Bombyx mori: one gene and its partner. The protein of the gene in region 1 interacts with the protein of each later gene in a biochemical or structural test. Links are inferred from orthologs where the notes say so. Each region holds a gene or a part of one and is shown on either strand. Other genes may lie near its edges.

Region 1 (3,833 bases):
TTTTTAACGAGACTAACGAACAGCAATTCATTTTTATATATATAAGATTTCAGACGAGGGAGTCCAAATAGAGTTCCTTTTTTATTTCGCGTGAAAATCGTGTTTTTAGATCACTCGTAATTAACACGATAATCGAAACAATAGGAATGTTATTGTTGCAGCAGCTTACACAGCTATAACACTTTTTAATTTTATTTATCGTCTTATTTCGGAAGTTTTTTTTATAAAGGATTTTATGACCTTGTAACTGAGACCTTTAAGTCAAGTCTTATTTTAATTTATATTCTTTTTCATATGAAAATAATATGTAACGAAATGAAATGAGATTAGATGATATGGTATGAAATATAATCTCAGTAAAATAATGGTCATTTACTTGGTAGACTTTTTCAATGGACTGTTTGTAGGATCCCGATAAGTTACGTTTAGCGGCTTTGTTTGATTTACTTACATTTGTGTACTTTCACAGATACTAAACAGTTAATAAACCAACATTATTACACATTAAACCCGAAGAAACACTAAATATACAAAATAAAACAAATCATAATATAACTTCACTCCTTGGGTTTCCGCCAAAAAGTCCATTTCGGAGGTAAATAGTATGCTGTCACAGACTATCTTTTTTTTTTCAACCTGTTGTGCGTTCCGGCTTACGCATGCTAAAAAAAAGGTGTCATTCTAAAACGCCACACAGAATTTTAATTTAAACAAAAATCAATCTTATCGCAATATGTTTTGTAGAATTTGTGTTTTTATTTATTTATATGCTGTATCTCCTCAGGTTAAAGGAGCTGGCGTCGACGAAGTTGCGGGACCTGAATAACCAGAAGGAGGAGTACGACTCTGTGTACTTTCACCCGGAGTCGCTGTCCAGCGCTGCTGTGGCGGCCGGCTGCGTGCTGCAGGTTTTGTTTTATTGCTTGGATGGGTGGATGAGCTCATAGCCCATACTGGTGCCCATACTTACTGGAGCCTATAGACATCTACAACGTCACCACCATCTACAGTGCCACCCACCTTGAGATATAAGTTCTAAGGTCTCAGTATAGTTACAATGGCTGCCCCACCCTTTAAACCGAAACGCATTACTGCTTCACGGCAGAAATAGGCGGCGTGGTGGTCCACTGAAATCGAATGTATTTCTGTGAGTCCTAAAGGATTAAAACAAAAGAAGGAAAAAGTTATCCAGGCGCCTTAGTAACAGAAATCGACAATATTACTTGAGTGCGCCGCGTAGGGCACCGGTGACCTACACGGCAGTCAAAGGGTTAAGACTGAGTGGCACGGTGTTCCGCTCGGCAGGCGGTGGAGGCGGTGGTGTCGGGGCAGTGCGGCGCCGCCGCGTGCGTGGTGCGCCCGCCCGGACACCACGCCGCCCGCGCCGCGCCCGCCGGCTTCTGTCTGCTCAACAACGCCGCGCTGGCCGCCCGCGCCGCCCACCGCGTGCTGCTGCTCGACTGGGACGTGCACCACGGGAACGGCACGCAGGCGCTCACCTACACCGACGACCAGGTGCAACTACACTTGCTCCCAATTTATATCCTTCACACACTAAACAGCAATGACCGTATAAAAAACCATTGGTATACTGGTAATCTCTTTTTTTTTATTACTTAGATGGGTGGACGAGCTAACAGCCCACCTGGTGTTAAGTGGTTACTGGACGGCTGCCCCGCCCTTCAAACCGAAACGCATTACTGCTTCACGGTAGAAATAGGCAGGGTGATGGTACCCACCCGCGCGGACTCACAAGATGTCCGACCACCAGTAAAGGACCGATACTTGCATAATATAATGCCTGTATATTATACTTCATCACTAATCTATATTTCTATACTAATATTATAAAGAGGAAAGATTTGTTTGTTTGTTTGTTTGTATTGAATAGGCTCCGAAACTACTGAACCGATTTGAAAAATTCTTTCACTGTTTGAAAGCTACACTTTTCCAGAGTGACATGCTATATTATTATTTTTTTTTAAATGAGAGATTCTTACTAAAACTCCAATAATGAAACAAATAATAATATAAAAATAATAAAAAATTAGATTTTTTATTTTTATTTAAATGAAAATTAGAGTTCATTAAAATAATTATTATTATTCAAACTATAATACTTTATAATTTTCTATTTTTAGAAACCTGACGCAAATATAAGGGTTAATGTGTGTGTATTATATTTTTTTATATTTAAATTTTTGTTAAAGACCCGAGCGAAGTCGGAGCGGCCCGCTAGTAAAATATATAAGTGATTGAGTTTGTTTTCAATGTCAAATCAATAAGGTAGGCAGCTGCTTGGCTTACCCCTGGCATTGCTGACGTCTATAAGCGACGGTAGCCACTCAATATTAGATGGGTCGTATGCCCGTTTGCCTACGAGGGCAATAAAAAAATAAATCGAAATTTACATGTATTATATTTCGCCATTATGCATCGCCATATAAACACGAATCCAGGGAAGATTTGTGTCATAATTTCTCTCGTACTACCTATGCACGACAGAAGGCGTGCGAGTAGTTTAAAAAAAATGTTATGCACAATAATTAGCGACGACAGTCCTAGCGGAGTCTGACGGAGTATCACTAATTAACAATATAATCAAGACAACCCACACAAAAAATGCGTGTCGATTATAAAATCGATTTTCTCTTTCAGATACTGTACATATCGATACATCGTTACGACCACGGCTCGTTCTTCCCGCACTCGAAGGACGCGGACTACACGGCCGTGGGCACGGGGCGGGGCGAGGGCTACAATATCAACATACCTTGGAATAAGGTAATAAACTAGAATACTGTTACGCCGGTAAGAGTAAACGCCATATCGAAAACGAATATCGGAGGATCTAATAACATCTAGAACGCTCGAGAAGCACAACGCCATCTATTGTCAGATAGCGGAAACGCGCATCGAAAACACTCGACTTGTGAGGAATGTTCTCGGCGACTCTAGGGATGTCGTATCGACTATAAAAACGTTGCAGAGATGCAACGCAGTCAGTTAGTAATCGGAACTACTCGAAGCGAAACAGCGAACTTATCACCTGAAGCGAACCGGGAGAAGTGAATATTGTTAAGTACAAATTAAAGCTATTAAGCATTTAGAACACTTAAGAAACACTTTAAAATTCTCAATTCACTTCTTCCGCTTCGCTTGGAGTACTTCCGATTACTGACTCCTTCGTGCCATCTCTGCAACGCTTCCATAGTCGACACAACAACTCTACAACTATTGAGAACATTCCCGATAAGGCGAATCGTTTCGATATGTGTTTCCACTATTTGATAATAGATAGCGTTGCACTTTTCGAGCGCTCTCGATATGATTAGTTCTTTTGTTATTTTTTTCTGCTATTTGACAACAGATGGCGTTATAATATTAGCGGTGTTGACTTCAAACTTGAGTTTAGAAAATCAGTCGACTAGTGAGATGTTTTTCATTGTCCCAAAAATACAAAGTATATATGCGTGTCCTGATGACTTCCCTTTATTTCTCCGTCAGCGCGGCATGGGTGACGCGGAGTACATGGCCGCCTTCACCCAGGTCGTGCTGCCGATAGCTCACGAGTATAATCCGGATCTGGTGATCGTGTCAGCGGGGTTCGATGCCTGCGTGGGAGACCCACTGGGAGGTTAGAACGCTTTTTGTTTAAACAAGTAAACTCGCCTTGTCAAATTAGCCGAGCGTAAATTCGTTACGTGTGGCGTAATTTGGGGCCAAAATTTATACACTAGCAATCGCCCACGTATGCTCACACACTAATGATCTATTTCATCTTTATATGAAAATGTTTGAGTTATTTGATGTAAAGTACATACACGATTCAC
Region 2 (4,513 bases), on another chromosome or scaffold:
AAAGTGTCAAAACGATAGATTTTTGATGGCTTGGACTGCAACACATGCGTGTGCATTCACAGATCCACTAATTCTCGTTCCGTGTCCGCAAATAATACAGGTTAAAATAAGAGAAATATAGATATTAAACGATATGTTACCTAAGCTATAGGGCTTATTTCAGTTTGACGCGATTAATGAATGCTTACTTCCGACTTCGGATCTGGTTCATCCACATTATCTCACTTTTGGTTTCTTCAGACAGTCTAACAACAAAAGTGACCTACCTACATATGCTATTTGATAGTTTATTGATTATTTTTAATTCAATGTAATTCATTATAATTCATGGAATATTGATGATCCGTATTAAGAATAGAACCCACTTTTTATAATAACAGCAATAGAATTGGGTCATAAAGCCCAAATAAAGATTTTCTATTTGTCAGGTGATGTAAGTGACTTTTAAAAATGTGTAATAATATTATACTTTAATTAGTTAAATTATTTATTAGTATGCTTAATTAGTATGCTTGAGTTAAATTAATAATTAATAAAGAAATACGTATGTGAATGTTAAACATCTTCCTGATATACTTACCTATTTGTTTTATTTAATGGTGTATTATTTTAATTAGAATAGAGTAGAATAAAAAAACAAATTAATTGATTTGTCTACCTATTTGATTCGGTTTTTTTTTCTGTCTAGATCGAGAATTTCGTATTTCGTTGCTTAAACATTGAGGAATTACAAATAAACGTGTGCAACCTAGGATTAGTCAATGTTAGTTAATGACAGATATTTTTTTAATAATTAGTATGTGTTTTTTCTTTGGTATCAAATATCATCGAAACAGATAAGCTCTCATCAAGTAAACGTGTTTCTAATAGTGTGGTACGTTTGTGGAGGTATCTACATAGCTAATAAAAGTATGTTTATTTAATAGTTGTTTTTTGTATGGTGTTTGTTTTTTTTTTGTGATATTTTAGTTGTAAGTGTTGTATTTTACGGAATAAAGTTAATGCAATGAAAATATGTATTTTAATAATAATTAAAACATGTCATTGAATGACAATGCAACGTCTTATGCGTTGAGCTCCGAGTTGATCGTTATTCTTTCATACGATAGTAAAGGGAAGGGGTGACTTTGGTGGCATCCTTGGAAAATTCAGGATTTTGCCCCCTTCACCACTTGTCACAGGCCTCCTGCCGACGCCCATATTGTAAACGAAGACAGCCATTTCGGATATAGGGTTAAACTCAGGGTCTATGAGCACAAAGTGGACGATCGTTGAAACTTCCGCACGTGAGTGGTGATTCGAAAGGATGGATACTGGTAAACGAGGCAAGCATCTTCCTGGAATTGGTGTTCGTTGGAAAACGTAGGCTGATTGCTCAGCTGGCAGTGTTGGAAGCTTGATCTCGCCCTCGATCATCGAGGTGGTTCACCCATTCCTTTCAGATTGGGTGAACCGTCACCAAGATCGTCACTCTTCGAGTTAATTACATTGAAGATCACATAAACAAAAATATGCTAAACGGTTGAGTTATTAACAGTTATAATAAATTGCTCAAGCTGATAGTAGAAAATGAATAATGTTATTGACATATTATGTGGTAGGTAACTACTTAATATTTTTATAAATTTTATTTTTTTGTATATCTCGTATATTTTAGTGTATAGTCTGTGATTCTATTTGACAACGATGACATCTGTCAGAGGCTGACGCATCACAAAAACCATCGCCCAAAATTTTATCCAAATACAAAATATGAAAGTAAAAACAAATTGAGAAAACGTTTTTTAGAGTTAAAAAATTCTCACCATTAAAATATATCGATGACATTTTAACCAGTCGATAATTTTTTATGCGTTAAAAGTGAAAGTTTAAAATAGAACTTTAAAAACGTGTTTGTTTTCCTCAACCGGTTCAAAGGAATAAGGTGAATTAAATTAGATTACTACTAATAAGTTGGTCTCAAGTCAATATTGAACTTTTATTATTCCAATAAAAGGATAGTTTTGTTATTCCAATATAAGTAATCAAATAAGTACCTGATTGTTTACGTAAATATAATTTTTTCGTGTTATCAAAATGTTTATCTAATTTTTTCTTCAGATAGTGCAAATATTATCAGTCGTCTGTAAAAGTATTAGTAAGTACACAGATAAATTGATTTGGAAAAAATAAGAAAATATTAAAACTTCTGCATCTCGTTCTATCAATGCTGGGGGTCATGACTACACGTCCTGTCCATGGCATCATCAACCTTATATCATTCGATATTTTTGCAAGTACCATCAGCATAATTATGTAATTGCAAATATTACAACAAGCACAAGATGCATTTTTGCTCCACACCTTTAAACTGATACTACTTTTGATTTTAATTGAGTGCTTATTGTCTTTCTATTACATTGTAGAGAGGCGTTTCCCTACGTGAGGCCTATGCCCTACAAGGGGCCAATTTGATAATTAAGTGGGGCAATTGCACTAAATGAATATAGAAAATCTGTATTAAAATTATTTTGAATTTGAATTTCAGTTTTTATTATATGTTTTGAAATATTACTTACTGTGTTCTGATAACAATTTCATAGTGATTTCTACCTAAAACCTAACATTTATGTTTCTTAAGTGAACAAATCAATTTTTTAATGTTAAAAATTATATTGTATGAGGGCATAAATATTTTACAAAAGTGGGAAACACTGTTTTATAGTTAGAAATAACCTGACAATAGCCCCTGTTTCCAATCTATAATTTGCACATAAGTCATTTTTAAAATATCTGTTCAAACATTTCACTCACAGATGTGGAAAGCTGCTACTAATGTGAAGGCACCAGAGCCTGCTGAAGCAGATGATTGGGAAACAGATCCCGACTATGTTAATGATGTGAGTGAACAGGAACAAAGATGGGGGCCCGCCGGAAGGAATGTTGAGGCAATTGAGTGAGCAATGTTTTTTAACCTAATTTATGAGGTTCGATTATAAAGCTTATACTGTTGAAGAACATGGTTGGGACTGCATTTACATGTATTTTCGTATGTCAATTACACAGTGTGAATAAATATTTTTGGGAAAGCATGACAGTTTTCCGCAACATTATTGGCTACCCTAATTTTACACATAATTGTTTGTAAAGTTAAACTATTATCACATATTTTTTCATGGGATGGAAAACATATGTGAAAGTGATAGGAAAACATATATGAAAGTAATAAAAAAGCTCAAAAATATAAATGATTATTTAATTTACTTAAATTAAGAAACACAAAAGTTGATCTACCTCAATACAGGCTAATAAAGCGTACCTAATGAATATCCTATGACGTAAAGAAAGCAATCTGTAATGTTAAAACCGCTTTGTAAATGTTCATTTGTTTTGAGACATATCATTTATGTATAATGAATTAGTCATGCTTGAAAAACTTGGAATTATTTTACATATTATATAATTTGTTGAATATAAACTGACCCTTGCTAAAGAGTGGTTATGAGGTCCCCTCGGTGAAGGGGTCCAGTGCTCAATATACGAACCAGATACTATACATGTTTTATATTAAATGTATTTATTATATTATGTAATATGTGCCCATATTATCTGCACCTATTACAATTTTATTATAATTCTTTAACAGCATGGCAAAATTACGTGAAGAGGTATTTGAAGCTGACAAATTAGCCAAGAAGAAACAGTATGAGGCTGGACCGAAACCTTCATTTGGGTATGTGATCAACTTTAAATGTGGTTTCCAGGGCCTGACCCAATAAAGCCTGGTATAGCCTGAATAAGGTGTATTCTTAAGTAGTAAAACAAGTACACTAATGAATTAATGATTGATGAATTAACATTGCATAAAATAAATCAACATGTTAAATTAATTATAGTGCACGTTACGTCAGCTCGCTCAAGTAAATAGATGCTAGATGTCATATAGCATAATTATCATTAAATTGAGACTTTGTTGTAGTGGATACTTGTAGTTGTCTTCAATAACAAAAGTCTCTGGTCAGTGAACCTAGAATAGTGACGATTAAGGCAGATTATATGACGAATAAACTATATTGTTACTTGGGTAAGAATAACGCCATCTGTCATTAAATAACAGAAACGAATATCAAAAGAACTAGTAGTATCGAGAACGCTCGAGATGTGCAACGCCATCTATTATCAAATATCGGAAACACATATCGAAACGTCTTGTTCTATCGTGAACTTTCTCAATAATTGTAATCTTGTCGTGTCTACTATAAAAGCATTGCAGAGATGACATGAAGGCAGTTGGTAATCTATTCGAAGCGAAACAGCGAACGGATCACGTGAAGCGAAGCGGAAGTGAAGTGCGAATTGTAAAGTGTTCCTAAGATGTTCTAAGTGTTAAATAGAGTTTTAATTAGTACTTCGCTGGAAGCTTTATTCATCCCGAGTCCCAGCGCGTAACAATATAATATACCATTTATGAGGAAATAATGACTAGAGGCTCTTTAATAGCATGGAAAGACCAATACTATCAAAGATGGTGTGT

What was found.
Region 2: the proteins of histone deacetylase 6 (region 1) and src substrate cortactin form a complex in vitro, tested with the Homo sapiens proteins (3 studies listed by BioGRID and IntAct, with this or other methods). The link is inferred for Bombyx mori from reciprocal best matches to the Homo sapiens genes HDAC6 and CTTN.

The regions. Positions count from the first base shown.
Region 1 is NC_085111.1:17,649,956-17,653,788, forward strand, and holds part of histone deacetylase 6, read left to right. Parts: intron 1-784; coding exon 785-908; intron 909-1,305; coding exon 1,306-1,515; intron 1,516-2,658; coding exon 2,659-2,784; intron 2,785-3,507; coding exon 3,508-3,637; intron 3,638-3,833.
Region 2 is NC_085113.1:1,684,374-1,688,886, forward strand, and holds the start of src substrate cortactin, read left to right. Parts: upstream 1-1,656; 5' UTR 1,657-1,924; intron 1,925-2,093; exon of another isoform or gene 2,094-2,137; intron 2,138-2,795; coding exon 2,796-2,935; intron 2,936-3,625; coding exon 3,626-3,712; intron 3,713-4,513.